2 linked regions of the Rhinolophus ferrumequinum genome follow. The protein of the gene in region 2 interacts with the protein of the main gene of each other region in a biochemical or structural test. Links are inferred from orthologs where the notes say so. Each region holds a gene or a part of one and is shown on either strand. Other genes may lie near its edges.

What was found. The genes of interacting proteins can lie anywhere in the genome.
Region 1: of the proteins of PSRC1 (region 2) and ASB7, one has a biochemical effect on the other in vitro, tested with the Homo sapiens proteins (2 studies listed by BioGRID, with this or other methods). The link is inferred for Rhinolophus ferrumequinum from reciprocal best matches to the Homo sapiens genes PSRC1 and ASB7.

Annotation. Positions count from the first base shown.
Region 1 is NC_046311.1:12,376,322-12,383,627, forward strand, and holds the start of ASB7 (ankyrin repeat and SOCS box protein 7), read left to right. Parts: upstream 1-4,232; 5' UTR 4,233-4,742; intron 4,743-4,910; 5' UTR 4,911-5,005; intron 5,006-7,306. UniProt on the Homo sapiens protein: Probable substrate-recognition component of a SCF-like ECS (Elongin-Cullin-SOCS-box protein) E3 ubiquitin-protein ligase complex which mediates the ubiquitination and subsequent proteasomal degradation of target proteins.
Region 2 is NC_046305.1:41,505,361-41,513,336, reverse strand, and holds the start of PSRC1 (proline/serine-rich coiled-coil protein 1), read left to right. Parts: upstream 1-4,868; 5' UTR 4,869-4,935; intron 4,936-5,301; exon of another isoform or gene 5,302-5,314; 5' UTR 5,315-5,353; coding exon 5,354-5,372; intron 5,373-5,463; coding exon 5,464-5,521; intron 5,522-5,962; coding exon 5,963-6,404; intron 6,405-6,763; coding exon 6,764-6,878; intron 6,879-6,968; coding exon 6,969-7,220; intron 7,221-7,531; coding exon 7,532-7,625; coding exon of another isoform or gene 7,626-7,629; intron 7,630-7,856; coding exon of another isoform or gene 7,857-7,860; exon of another isoform or gene 7,861-7,976. Other genes in the region: 40S ribosomal protein S26-like, read right to left, coding at 1,660-2,007. UniProt on the Homo sapiens protein: Required for normal progression through mitosis. Required for normal congress of chromosomes at the metaphase plate, and for normal rate of chromosomal segregation during anaphase. Plays a role in the regulation of mitotic spindle dynamics.

The DNA of each region.
Region 1 (7,306 bases), on a different chromosome or scaffold from region 2:
TACTCTTAGTTGTTAAAATATGGTTCTACATTTTAAGTGAGGCTTCAGAATAAAATGTTTCTGCACCCATTCCCTTTCACCAATCGAGGCCCCTTCCATTCCTCCTCCTGCCCACCCCGCCCCCCCACCAAAAAAACCCCACCAAATGTCTATAAATGTGACATTTTACTTAATTTTTGAATTCTGAATACTGTACACACAAAACAGATTTGATTTCCAGTTGAAAAATAAGGTTACCTACCCCACCTCAGCAAAGTAGCACACACTAAAAGATTTGAGAAAGCGCAGGGCTTTTATGGTGAAAACCTTTATACAACTTAAGTGAGAGGATGCCAATACTCCTTTATTCACTCTGAAAGGTTCCTTTCTGACTCTGGACCTTGAGACAATGCTGTTCCCTCTGCCTAGAAAGCTCTTCCACCTACTTTTCCTTTTCTTTTAAGCTTAAATATGGTTTTCTGGGCCAACACACTGGACAGCCTTGAAGAAATAAGGTCCTAGGAACATTCTCAAGACCGAATCATGAAAAAATAGAATAGCTGAATGAACAGATTACTACTAAGATTGAATCCGTAATCAAAAACCTCCCAACACTCAAAAGTCCAGGACCAGATAGTTTCAGTGTGAATTCTACCAAACACTTAAAGAAAAAAAAATGATACTAATCCTTCTCAAACTCTTCCAAAAAAAAAAAAACCAGAGGAGGAAGGAATGCTTCCAAACTCATTTTACAAGGTCAGCATTACCCGGATACCAAAAGCAGACAAAGACACCACAAGAAAAGAAAATTACAGGCCAATATTATCTGATGAACATACACAAAAAAATTCTCAATGAAATATTAGCAAACCTAATTCAGGTTTGTAACCCAATGTGTTAAAAGGATCATACACCATGATCAAGTGGGACTTATTCCAGGGATGCAAAGATGGTTCAACATCCCCAAATCTGTGCATGTGATACACCTCATTAACAAAATGAAGGATAAAAAGCATATGATCATCTCTACAGACGCAGAAAAAAAGCATCTGAGCAAATTCGACATGTTTATCAGAAAAACTCTCAACAAAGTGGTTAAGGAGGGAACATGCCTGAACATAACAAAGGTCCTACACGACAAGCCTGCTGCTGACACCACACTCAATTGTGAAAAACTGAAAGCTTTTCCTTTAAGATCAGGAACAAGAAAAACGTACCCACTCTCACTACTTCTACTCAACATAGTATTGGAAATCCTAGCCAGAGCAATTAGGCAAGAAAAAGAAATAAAAGGCATCCAAATTAGAAAGAAAAGAAGTAAAACTGTTACTATATGCAGATGACATATTATATACAGAAAACCCTAAAGACCACCAAAAAACTGTTAGAATAAACAAATTCAGTCAAGTGGCAGGATACAAAGGCAATATACAAAAATCTGTTGTGTTTCTATACACAAACAATGTCAGAAAGAGAAATTAAGAAAACAATCTTAATCTTATTTACTCATTTACAATTGCATCAAAAAGGATAAAATACCTATGAATAAATTTAACAAAGCAGGTGAAAGACCTGTATAGAATAAGATTTTAATGAAACAAGTTGAAAAAGACACAAATAAATAGAAAGATAGTCCCTGTTCATGGATCGGAGGAGTTAATATTGTTAAAATGTCCGTATTACCCAAAGCAATCTACAGAGTCAATGCAATCCCTACCAAAATTCCGATGGCATTTTTCACAGAAATAGAGCAAATGAGCCTAAAATTTCCATGGAACCACAAAACACCCTGAGTAGCCAAAGCAACCTTGAGAAAGAATAAAGCTGGAGGCACCAGCTTCCTGATTCCACACTACATTACAATGTTACAATAATCTCCAAGCTAACAACCTCAGAATCCAGTTAGGGTCTGTCTTCTGGTCTCTATACTCAAGCATCTAAACGCCCCTGGAGAGTTCCACTCGGGGGTCCCACAAGCACCTTCAGCTCAAACTCAACTCGTTCTATGGCCTCTTAAACGTGTTTTCTCCTACACTGCCCGTATCTCAGTATATGGCATCTGTATCTCCTAGTCACCCAAGCTAGAAACCCAGACGGCCTCCTGGACCCTTCCTCATGCCACCTCTCTCCACCTGCACAGCCACTATTTAGTGCACATCTACCCTGGACACTGCAGCAGATTCCTTGCCTAAGTGGTTATTTCTTGGCCTACTCAACACCCACTTTCTTCTGAAAAAAACCTCTGCACTTTCCTTGGATAAAATCCAAACCTCTGAACACAGCTTAGCGGGCCCTTCAAGATCTGACTCTTGGGGTCTTCTCACCTCAGTGCCCCCAAAACTAAGCTCCAGACTTTCTCGGAGTTCTTTCCCAGTGCTTTGCTTAGAGTCCATTCTTTCTGACTAAATCATACCCAGTTGTCTCCCTCCTACTCTCAACCTTCAACTTGGAAACCTCCAGTCCCCATGGAGCCTTCCATAGATCCAAGCAGGGTTTGAGGGCCCTGCCAATTGCTCTCTCAGCCTATCCCACAGTATTGATCTCACCGCACTGTCCAAAGGTATTTTCTAGTTTGGTTCACACTTGACTGTGAGCTTCCTGGGGCAGGACTGAGCTTGCTTACGTAGCCAACAGGTAGCTCCCATGGGAGGCACCCAAATGAGTATTCTTGAACAAATGAGTTAACAGTGTAAAAAAATATATACCACGGGGCAAACTGAAAGTGTTTGTAGTGGTCCCCATCTTCCACAGAACAACATATTTTATTACATAAAAGCAGCTGATACGTTGAAATCACTTCTTTTATATAATTAGAAATGACATAATTTTCTTTGAAAACGTTGGTGGCAGCCAAATGTCTGGGGTGTCGGACGGCTGAGTCTTGCCTGGACAATAGCCTTCCATAGTTGCAGTCACCCAGCTCCCCGCCAGTCTTTTCCTTTGAGCAGTCAGGGATGCTTTCAAAACATACAGAAGATGCTATAACTTCCCTACCACGGCCTCCAAGGTCCTGCATCGAAGCTCTTCGTCCTACCCCACCCCCCCAAGTGCATCCCCATCCATGGTCCCCCTTCCCCCCTCCGCTTCAATACCCTGGCCTGGCCTTCTTTCTTGCAGTTCCTATAAACAAACGGCAAAGGGTATTCCAGCGTCAGAGGTTTTGTACTTTTGGTTCCCTCTGCCTGCAAAATCCCCCCCCCCCCCCCGATCTTGACATGGCCGGCTCCTCCGCATTCAGATGCCTACTCAACTGTCCCTTGCTCAGACACCTTTGCTGACACTATCCACAGTGGCCATCACGTCCGGGTCAAACTCCATCCCATTATTTCTGCTTGATATTTTTTGGACAGCCTCCCCCTCTGTCTGCTAATTGTGCGCTTTTCTGTCTCCCCGGTTAAAGTGAAAGGTCCACAGGGACAAGTCACCGCACTTACCTGGTTCACCAGAACAGTGCCCGACCCGTAACCACTTGCTAAAATGAAGAAACGCGCTCAGCAAACGGGTCCATCTCGCACGTCTTGCACTCTTTCCCCTTCACTCCCAGGAATCCGTGCGAACCGCTCTCCGCGTAGAAAAGCCCTTGAAACGTCCCCGCCATCCCCCCCAAACAGCCCTCTCTTCCACGTGAGGCGGGGGTACGCCCAGCCTGCTGGCTAACGGGCCTAAGGAATCCAAAGCCAAGCCAAGCATCCCGCCACCGAAAAGCGCCGAGGGGCGGCGGGACGAGGCGCCCCCTCTCTTCGCGTCCTGGCGACTGCCGCCTCCTCCACCTGGAACCCTCGGGCCGTTCTCTCAGTCGGCCGCACACACGCCTCCCCCGCCGCCGAGCTCAGGGGCAGCTCCCAGTTACCTGCCAGGGCTCCATGGCGCTCCAGCCACTCTGCCTTCGCATCGCCATTCGAACGAAGCCCGACCCCCTCCGGCCACCGTAGTTCACGCTGGCCCCGCCTCCCGCATGCGCAGAGGCCCTATTGAGCGTGCAGTGTCTCTTAGCAACCGCTTTGAGTCCCTCCGCCTGGGGCGGAGCATCGGAAGACACGGGGGGGAAGCCAACGGGGAAGTGAGGGAGGCCAATCGGAGATGAATCCCAGCCTCGATCGGCACGCCTCCTCTCACTGTCGCGAATGCGCAGGCGGCTTTACGGCAGGCAAGGGGTGGGGGCTGCCAGGGGGAAGGAGGAGAGAAGGAAGCAACCAACCAACCAAGTCGCCCCACCCCCCACCTCCACCCACCCCGGACCTGGTTTACGGCTCTAGGCTCAGGCTCTAGTGCGGCCGCTGATTGGCTGCTGAAGGCTTGGTCCATCCCAGTGACCCCAAAGTGCTGGAGGGAGGGGGCGGGGGTGGCCCAGTGCAAAGTGCATCCCGAAAGCCCCCTACCTGGATCCCCCGCGGCTGACACTTCGGACCCTTTACGACCCGGGACCTCGCTGCTCCGAGACCTCCCGTGTTACCCGGTAGCTGGGAGCCTCCGGCCCAGAGCGCGGCAGCCCCCTGCTCCGAGCCCTCAGACCCGGACTGCCCCCCCCCAACCCGAGCCGGGACTTCCTCCCTGCACCCCTGCCCCGAGGCTGCCCCGCGGCCAGGACTGCCTCTCCGCGTCTGCTCAGCTGTCTGGATGCTCGCGGGGTTGGGGCCGTGAGCCACCGAGGAGGGTCAGCAACACCCGTGTCCGGCCCTGCTTTGGGGTGCTTCTTCAATGGAGAAGTTGGTGCGTGTGGAGGAGGCTGAAAGGAAGAAGAGAAGCAGCAGCTGAGGAGACAGGTAAAGTCAGTTATGTTCCCCGAGGGGAAGGGGGCTGGCTGGGCGGGAGGAGAATCACTGCTTCTTCCTGCCTGCCTGTACCACTCTCTTCCTTTGCTCTCCCTTCCCCAAAGCCCCCTCCTCCCCGCCCCACGGGCACTGCACCACTCACAGGTTTCTGATTTCCAGGTTTGAGTTGGCTAGAGGAGTCCAGAGAGCAGGAGGAGGTCTGCCCACCCACCAGAGAAGTAGAAGAGAGCTTCTGACCATCATTCTCTATAAAGGTAACAAGCCAGCCCTGCCCTGCCCCGTTGTTTATTCTCGGCCCCTACCTCCTTAAGCAGCGCTCTGTTTTCAGGGTGGTTACCTGGGCATGCAACCCTTTCCTGGCCCCCAGTTTCTCAGCAAAAACAAAAACGCTGCCTTCGCCCTGATTCTTAACATTTTAGTAACTTCTCAACCCCCAAAACGTATTTTCTTCCTTTCTATTTGTATAGTGTTTCCGTGTTTTGCATTATCTTTTTGGTACACTGCACCATTTACCCTGCTCTGAGACTTTGAGACCTTTTTGTAGTTCCCCCCTTTACTCTCATAGGAATTCCTCAATTCCTTCTTAATTGCTTGTTAATTCTAAATGAGTCTGCTTTTTAATTAAATCCCAGTTTTCTGTTTTCCCCTTAATCCTTCCTGTCACCTTTCCTCTACCTCCATCAGAATATCTTTTGAGTTCCCTGACTGACAAGGGTTTGGGAGAGGAAGGTACAGTAATGACCTGAAATTTATGAGTTTTGGAAAATAATATGACTTTTTCGTAGTGGAAAGTGAATCTAATCCTATGAAAGCAGTAGTCTCCCTGAAGCACTTATGTGTAATTAACACTTCAGGCTTTTGTGTGTTTCAATGTGACAGATGTAGATGGGCGTTGAAACTGTTACAAAAAGATAAATAGTATGTTGCACCTCAGATTTTCTAGAAAAACTTACAAAACTTTACATAATATCTTGTTACTCATTTGACACTCAAGAATTTAAAAACAAAGGAATGTTTCAGTGTGTTTAGAACCTAAGGCTTTCTCTTTGCACTCTTCATAAATAAGATTTCTCATTTCAAAACCCTTACAGAGAATTTGTTAGATTGAAATGTAAGCATCTAATTCGTGTGATCACATTTCTACTACTATATGTTGTTGCTGCCTCTGAAAATACACTAAAGGTAAGTTTAGGACATTCGTGTAATTTCTAAAGAGGGGATATTAGGGAAATTATATGAGTTAATTCAGAAATTAGCCGAGTGAATGACTTCTAACATCCAGTAACATGAGTATAAAGTGACTTGTTAATCTCAGAGTTATTTTAATATCTCAGATTGTTTAGGGAATTTTAGGTACAAAGACGTACTTAAAATAGCAGAAGTTGTTAGGAAATCTTAGATTTACTCTGTTCCACTGGTCTTCCTGCCTTGCGTAAAAAGAAATTAACGTCTTCCATGATTCTTCTAATTGTCAAGACATAGTTAAAGATACTTTTAAGGGGCTCTGAGGGCTTGTATATTCTTGAGACCTGAAACCAGATAACCAAAGGAGAGTGTGTGCTACTGAAAGGGGTTGAAAATGAGTGTCTACCAATGGCTGTCCCACAGTGAATTATAGGCCAGCCTTGATAAGTGTATGTAGGGTCCACTTCATCTCAGTAAAAGCGAGGCTGAAGTCTATAAAGTTAAAGGCAATTTTCATTATTTAAGTATGTGACTCACCCAAATGCAGCCTAATGATTAGGCCTTTTAAAAAATGCTAAAATATTTGAAGTGTGTTTTGAAGGTAAAAGCGAAGTATGTAGTTTCTATTCAGTCCTTCTTTGTTAAATATTTTGTCTGCTTTAGATTTCCGTCTAGTATATTTTCCTGTCTGCGAGGTATCATCACCTGAGATGATAGGGAGTAGGTCTGTGGTGAGTCAAGCATATAAGGTAAAGAGAGTGTTCCCCCAGCCAGTTCATTCTCATTGCTTAAATGATATTTCATTGATTCTCTCAGCTTTTAATGCTTTTCCTGAGATTAGGGAATATATATCTAAGTTGTCAGCATCTGTTTCCAATATTAGCATGATTAAGAATAGCTGGTCTAGGTTATGCCAAACATTTAAAATATTTAATTTGGGTACTTATTTACCAACATGGCCAGTTAGGTGGTTTATGTTTTTCAACCTGGCACTTAACTTTGTGTTAATTCTATTGCCAGCCACATGGTATTGAAAGCCAAAAAAAAAAAAAAAAAATCAAACCACCTGATGAATTTGATAACCAAATATAGATTTATAATTACATAGGGAACATAACTGATTTTAATTGAAGATAGTCAGTGATGCATTTTGAATGTGCTATGGCCAATAATTATTTTCTTTATACCTAAAGTGACACGGTTCACAATTACTTACTATTAGGACACGAACAATATCTATTTTGTTACATTTAACTTTGGTAACACAGAAGTACATACTATCCCTAAAATGTCTAAAGTCAGATAAAGTTTATATCAGCATATCTAATATCCGCCTTTCAGCCTTTCATTTCATGCTCAGCTGACGGCAT
Region 2 (7,976 bases):
GAAGGCATTTACTTAAGCCTATCATTGCTAAACAGCAAATGAAAACCCTAAGGGATGCGTTAAAAGTACAGACTTCTCAGGAGAGCTGTCCCTGCCCGTTGGCTTGCAAAGACCGTCCTCTCACCATCCCCTCAAGTCCCCGTCAGAATGATGTTGGGTTAATGTTAGCCTTGTTACTGTTAACTGTCCTTTCACCTCTCTCCCAGCTGCTGCCCAGCAATGAAGCCGGGTAAGTAGAGAATTCATAGCACAGAACCCAGGGACCATGAAGAGGGGATGCCTCAGCACGTTGGATATGCTCTGGCTGTTTGCTGTTAGGGCCACAGTAAATTCTTTCTTTTCTGTGCCTCCAGGAAGCCTGACTGCGATGAGATTGAGCTCCAGCACAGCGTCTGGTTTGGACTGGTCTAAATAAATGTGTGGATTCTCAGTGCATAAGTGTCCATCTGTTTGAGCTTTTCCATATGGGAAAACCATTTAGGAAGTTGAAATTCTTTAGCCAGACTGTATGGAATCTTAGAACCCTCAGACTCCTCTTTCTCTTTCCATATCTACATTCTCTTCCACAAAGGTTTCTAACACTGTCTTGTCCCTAGATAATCATGACAGAGCTGAGTTCAACTCTATACAGTATGAGGTGCTGAAAGATGCTGAAGAAGACTTGCTCTCTTCCTCTCTGGGCTTTCCTGTAAAAGTTGCGTAACAGGATGCACATCTCTCACAGAGATCAGACAGCAGGACACACACACATATATACGTAGCTAATTAAGGACAGACCCCCCCCCAAGTCTTGAGGGCTGGGAGATACTGAAGAAATTGGAGCAGTCTCATTAAGCCCTCGAGAAAGAATTAAGCTGAGGTGCCCTTGCTTACGTTTGTTTTCATTCTTAAAACAAATAAGATACTGAAGGTATTCTGTGATGGAATCTGCAAAAGATAGCAACAATTCCTCCCATCCTAGTATGGGCATGGTACTCTTCCCACCAAGAGTTGGGGTCTATTTCTCCTCCTCTTGAATTGGGGCTGACCATGTGACCTGCTTTGACCAAAAGAATGTAGCGGAGGTGATGCTGGGCCCGTTCTGGGCTTAGACCTTAAGAGGTCAGGTTGTTTCTGCTTTTGCTTCTGGAAGTCAGCTCCCATATGAAGAATCTCGGGACAGATTACTGAATTATGAGAGGCCACATTATAGAGGACAACCAGGTATCCCAGCTGACAGCCAACACCACAGCTCTAGCTATGTGTGGCCACCTTGGACCCTTCATCCAAGCCTTATCTACTCCTTGTGGAGGGAAGACAAGTTGTCTCTGCAGAACCCTGCCCAAATTGTAAAATTATGAGCAGATAAATGGTTGCTGTGGTTTCACTGAATATCAGGGTGGTGTGTTACATGGTAATATATAACTGAAACAGCGCTCTATGCATCAGTCATTGAACTAAGTGCTTTGTCTCTTTTGATCTTCATTTTACAAATGAGTATGTTTAACCTTATAAATAGCTCCAAATATGCATCTGGTAAGTAGCAGAGCTAGGATTTGAAGCAGGTTTGTTTGACCTCAAGCATTCCCTATTTCCTCTCATCTCTCTTTTTTTTAAAGTATAATTTCCATTTTATTTTTCCCCCGAGAATATTTCTTCAGTCCTTAAGGACTTAGCTCCTTACATGGGCTTTGGTGGAGGTCGTGGGGCAGCACCCACAGGTCTAAATCGAGGTGGGGGTGTTCGGTCCTTCCGGGCTTCACAGGAACGATTCCTGACTACCTCGCTGTGAATGGCACAGCTCACACAGTAATGTAGTTTCACATACAGCTTGGGAAGCACATAGGCGTTGAAGACACTCGCTTCGGAAATGTCCCTAACAGCTGCTGCCTCTACCATGTTTCGAATGACGAACTTCTTAATGGCCTTGTACTTGGGCACGCATCGGGCACAGCTGGTGCAACGAATAGGCTGCACATGGTTGTGGCCCTTTTTGGCACTACCATTGTTTCTTCTTTTCTTGGTCATCTTGGAAGCGAGGACCCGAGAGAGGAGGCTCCTCTCATCTCTTTTACTCAGTGACTTCCACTGTAGTAGATATGGGCTTAAGAATGAAAAGATTTCCAGGATCCAGTAAATATTAGGCAAGATTTTGAGGAGGAAGGGGATGTGTTTGGGCTGAGAAGAGTGTAAAAGCCTTTTTTGTTCAGACTATTTTAAGGTCTATTTTAAGTTGAGGAAAAGTATCTTTTCTAGCCTTTCTCAACTGGAGTTCTATGAGAATTAAGACCCAATGTCCCAAGGCATCCACTGCATGTCATAAATTAACTTCTTCCTATGCATCTAGAATGTTACTAATTATGTACCATCCTTGGGAAACTTGAGAAAACAGTCACACAAATCATTTGTAGGGTCTAATGCACTTAAACCCTGCTGAGAATGTTAAGGGGTAGAGCAGAGTCCAGAGCCAACCAGCTCTCTCTACTCCTTCTAGCAGTACTCAGTCACTTTTTACATTTGACCCCTCACTTTATCTATGAAGCAAGGATTGTGACCATCAGTTTCATGGTTTGGATGATAATTATGACTATCAAGTACTCTCAGCTATGATGCCCTAAGCATCAGTTAGACCTCTGGCCTCAGCCCCCAGCCCCATGCCTCTGCTATTTGTTGAAGTACTCAATGACTATCCCTTAAAGTTCACCTATGCTCAACCTTCATGGTGAAGGAACAAAACCTTCTTTACACTGAACAAGACCCCTAATCACAGTTAATTCTTCTGCATTCAAGAAGACCTGCACTGGAATCCTTAATTTTTTTGATTTCTGTATTCATCACTTTGGAGTACCTTCTGAACTAAGGCCTACCATGTGCCTGGGCAGGAGTATAATTTCTTCATTAATTCACTTATTTATCATTTATCCAAAATCTTAAACACGTGTTCCTATGTATCATTTTGGGGTTGAGCTCCAGGGGATAAATATTTCCCAGATTAGTGGCCTTACACTGAGTGAAGAATTCTTGTACCTGAAATCTGTATTTTTCTGTCTTTGTTGTCATTTGGAAGAGAAAGTAGTTCTGCTTTTTTTTCCCCTGGTACTGCAACAGTTTTCAAAATCATAATTTGGCGATGGAAAAATGCAGATAAATTACCTTAGGAGAAACTAACTTCCCATTTGCCAAAACTGCTTCCCCCAATTACCTGAATATGGGTGAAGAAGTAAGTGCAGTTTCCCCACTCAAGCTGTTCCTAGGGAAAGAAAGAATGCAGTTAACTAACAAGTTCTTTCCCCCAGATCTCCACTTTGCCACTATTTGCCTGGAGAGGGAAGATACTGGCTCTGGTTTTCCCACCTCCATAGATCCTGAATCCTACAGGCAACTGAAATTTCACCTTCACTAGCAATCCTACGGAAAAAGAGGCAGTCCTCTTGTCTCAGCTCTTTCTCACATAAGCTTGCAAGTTCTGAGTCTCCCCACCCTTTCCCTTATCACCCCACTAAATTTCAAGGCTCCTTTGCTTCCAGTGGCGTTTATTACTGTAATATCTCACTCCTGCCAACCTCACTACCTCAACTTCACAGCTAAAAACGAGGAAGTAAACAAAAATGCCTATAAATGGCCCACAGATACTGGAGACTAGCGCTCAGGCTCTTTGTTTACAGGAAAGTTCTTCAGCCCATTTGTAGGACCTTTTTGATTTAATTTTTAGAACATTTCTAAACTCTGTTAACTGGTGACCCAGCCTATTCACAGGCAACACTTGGAAACAACAGAAAGAAAATCCCTAATAAGTGGGTTTATGTGTTTTACAAACACAGCTTTGAGTTTAGAGAGATAGCAAGTTACAAACACCCTCAAAAGCCCCTGACCTGCAGGGTATAAAACTTGATATTCGTAATTATCATCCAACCATGAAACTGACGGTCACGATCCTCGCTTCATAAATAAAGCGAGGGGTCAAATATAAAAATTGATTTGGGGTGGCCGGATGGCTCAGTTGGTTAGAGCACAGGTTCTCAACAACAAGGTTGCTGGTTCAATTCCCACATGGGATGGTACGCAGCCTCCTGCAACTAAGATTGAAACCTGCGACTGGACTTGGAGCTGAGCTGCGCCAACTAGACAGGACAACGACTTGGAGCTGATGGGCCCTGGAGAAACACACTGTTCCCCAACATTCCCCAATAAAATTTTTTTTAAATTTAAAATAAACAAATAAAAATTGATTCAAGCTTGCGTCACTTGTAAACGGAGGGGTCACGGTTGAATTTGAACCCCAATCTCCCTGTCTGAATCGCCCCGTCTGTAAAGACCGTTGTTTTCTTTACACCTTGGCTGCCTAAGGGTCTGAACGTTCTCTCCTAAAAAGCCATGGAAAACGTACTTCCTAGAGAACCTCGATATACCTAAAACATCAGTGTTTAGGTACTGCCGTAGCTTGGAAAAATCGCCACTGAGGAAATCTGGCAAACGCGGCGCTTGCATATGGAGTGAGTCTAAGGAAACGAATTTTCTCAGTCAGAGCGTTAGCTTTTGGGCCGACGGCAGCGAAAGGCATCAGGTGACCATGCCGGTCCCTGGGGCTACAAACCCCGGCTCCTCCTAGCAGTTCTGGGAGGGAGAGGAGAAGAAGGGATGACAGGGAGCGAAACCCACACTCATTGGCCAGCAAAGGCCTCCCGGGCACGCGCGCGCGCTCGCGACTCCCCCGCTTCAGCCCTTGGGTTGGAGTCTTTCTTGGAATGGCTAGCTCTCCAAACGGCCCCACCGGCGAACTTCCGGCCAGCGGCCCGCCGTCGCCCCGCCCTCTGGGGGGCGGGGGATGCTGGGATCCACCAATCACTGTGCAGAGGTGGTAGGAGTGGGTGGGGCGAAGAGATTCGAAAGGAGCCCCGCCCCCTCGGAGCTGATTCCCGGGACTGAGTTGTGCGGAGAAAGCACAGTTCACGGGAGGTGAGTGGGGGCGCGGAAAGTGAAAACTGAGGTTGAGCTGGAGGTGTGGCGTGGCTGTGGTGCTGCGGGGAGTGGAAAGGTGGCTTGGGGAGAGGAAGAACCCGGAGGATGGTGGCAGGGAGGAAAATAGGGCGCGCAGACCGCCCCCCAGTGAGGAGAGGCCGGGTCGCCTGGGGGACGGGAGGGCAATCTGCGGAGAGGATAGGAGTGCAGGGGGAGCTCTCCGCACCTTTCCGGGAGGTAACGGTAGTAACAGGGGCAGGTGCTGCTCCTAGGAAGCTTGCTTTATTTCCAGCATGACTCCCAACCCCCTGGCTTGCACCCTAGCTGAGAGCCTTGGGTAGGATGCAGATCTGAGGGAAGTATGTTTTCTCTCCAGTTCAGATCTAAGCTGACTCCTGCTCCTGCTGGCTGGAACATGGGAGATTTGCAGGAAGGTAAGGAAGCCCTGGAGGGAAAGCAGAGGCCCTGTGATGGAGAGCCATGTTAAGGACACAAGGCTGGCATTCATTCTTAACTCCCCTACAGATGTGAAGTTTATAGTGGATGAGACCTTGGACTTTGGAGGGCTGTCACCATCTGACAGGTACCACCAGCCTCTTTATCCTACTTACTTTCCTCCACCGATGGCTGTCTCTAGCCTCTTACTGGTGAATTTTTGGTCTCAAACCTGGGTCTCAAGGCTGGATGTGCTGGTGCTGCTGGGTGGCTGGTTCTCTTGGGCTTCTATGACACTACTCCTGGGCGAAGGGAGAAGCTGGACTGAGACTGCAGGGTGTTAAGAAAGAGGGGAAGTGGATTTGCTGCATCTTCATCCTGGCATAATTTCCAATGTCAGTAAATGCTAAAGGCTTATCAGACCTCACGGAACCCGGTCTCTCAAACCTAGAGGCCAGATCTCACAGCCAACATGGGCGTCAGGGTTTGGGGTTGTGTCTCTGGCTCTGCGCGGTTTTGCCCAGTCTCCCTTGTACAGTCTCCTGTTCTCTTCCATGGGGCACAGTGCCTGGTTTGTTTTCTGTCTCAGTCGTGAGGAGGAAGACATAGCAGTGTTGGTGACGTCAGAGAAACCCCTCCGACGCGGCCTCTCCCACCGAAGTGACCCAAATGCGGTGGCCCCCACCCCCCAGGGTCTGAGGTTCAGCTTAGGCCGCCTCAGCCCAGAGAAGCTGGAGGAGATTCTCGATGAGGCCAACAGGCTGGCAGCGCAGCTGGAGCAGTGTGCCCTGCAGGAGCAGGAGAGTACAGGCGCGGGCTCCGGGCCTCGAAGGGTGAAGCCTAGCCCTCGGCGGGAGACCTTTGTGCTGAAGGACAGTCCTGTCCGAGACCTGCTGCCCACTGTGAGCTCTTTGGCTCGGAGCACCCCCTCCCCAAGCAGCCTACCACCCCGACTGCGGAGCAGCGATAAGAAGGGGTCAGTCAGGGCTTTTCGGGCAACCTCTGGAAAGAGGCCCTCCAGCGTGAAGAGGGTGAGTTTGGAAGGTCTGGGCTGGATGTGTGCCCCCAGACACAGTGTGTGACTTGGTACAACCATGAAGTAGTTTCCTTGTTTGTCAAATGGAGATAGTAAAATTCTACCTCGTAGAATTATTGGAATTAAACGAAATACCATAAGCCATGCACTTACCACTGTGTGCATAGCTCTCTAATTCTGTAATAAGCTCTCAACAAATGGTACTAGTGATGATGATGATGTTGGCAGCTGACTTCTGCCATTCCTTACTGGGATCTAGGCAACTCTCCACCTCTATCCCTTAACCAGCCAGCAGAACAGATTCTTTTTCCATTCTAGTCGCTTTTTTTTTTCGTGTCTCTTTTTCTGTTTCAGGAGTCGCCCACTTGCAATCTGTTCCCCACATCCAAAAGCCCAGCATCTTCTCCTCTTTCCCGATCAACTCCTCCAATCCGGGGGAAAGCTGGGCCCCATGGGAGAGCAACAGCAAGTGAGAAGACCTGGGCAGCAAAGCTGTGGGTGAGTGGGAGTAGGGAGGATGTGGAACTTACCCTAAAATTCCTCTGTTGCTCTGCACCAGGCCCGCCTACCCCCGTGGTCAGACCAGTCTTGGCCCCACAGCCTTCTACCAGCAACTCTCAGCGCCCGTCTCGGCCACAGGGAGTAGCTGCTAAACCTTCCAGCCGACTGCCTGCTCCCTCGGCCATCCCCAGGCCTGCCAGCCAGGTGCCACTCACCAGCCGGAGTATACCACCCAGCAAAGGTGCCCTAGCTCCAGATTCTCTGTCAACTCGGAAAGGACTTCCAAGACCAAGCACCACAGGGCACAGAGGTGAGGAAGAATGGACAGTAAGGGTAAGAAGTCAGGAGGAAGAATACCTACTCTTGCCCACGTAAATCGTACCTCCCAGAGATGGTAACAATGACCACTTTCTCCATCTTCATTACAGCTCTATTTGAAGATGGCCAGACTGAGTTAAGGAGAGAATTTGGGCCTGGGCCAAGAGTTTTGAGTCTTGGTTTTCAAATACCGTGGGTGGGAGGAAAGGCAGTAATCCCAAACTCTGCCTTCATCCAGTATTTCTTTTGGGAAGGTCCCCTGAACTTGCTGCTAACTCGTTTCTTTTGCTAACTCCCATCAAGTTCCAGTTTCCCAGCGACCAAATCTTTCTGTCACTGGTACCACTCGCAGTAATCTGCAGCCCCCCAGGAAAGTTGCAGTTGCAGGACCTACCAGGTAAGACTGGTCGAGATGCTATCTCTTTCTCTACTGTCATCTGGGCTTCTGAGCTGTTATGTACAAGTCGTAGGTCAGTCCTGATTCCTGTGTGCCAAGCTGGGGACAAGGAGGGGAGCCTGGAGGGTCGGGGTGTCCCATGTCTTCCTACCCCAAGGAATTTGAACTCAGCCAGGTAACATATGGGCTTGAGGAAGAAGAGCAATAAAGCAGTTCCTCCTGTCTCTCTAGGTAAATAGATCAGGACAGCAAGCAAGAATTCAGTAGCAGACCACTACAGTCACTGCCTGGACTCACTCTACTCGGCCTCCCAAGCCCTCTCATTGGAGGCAGTTCCTCACTTCAGCAGAT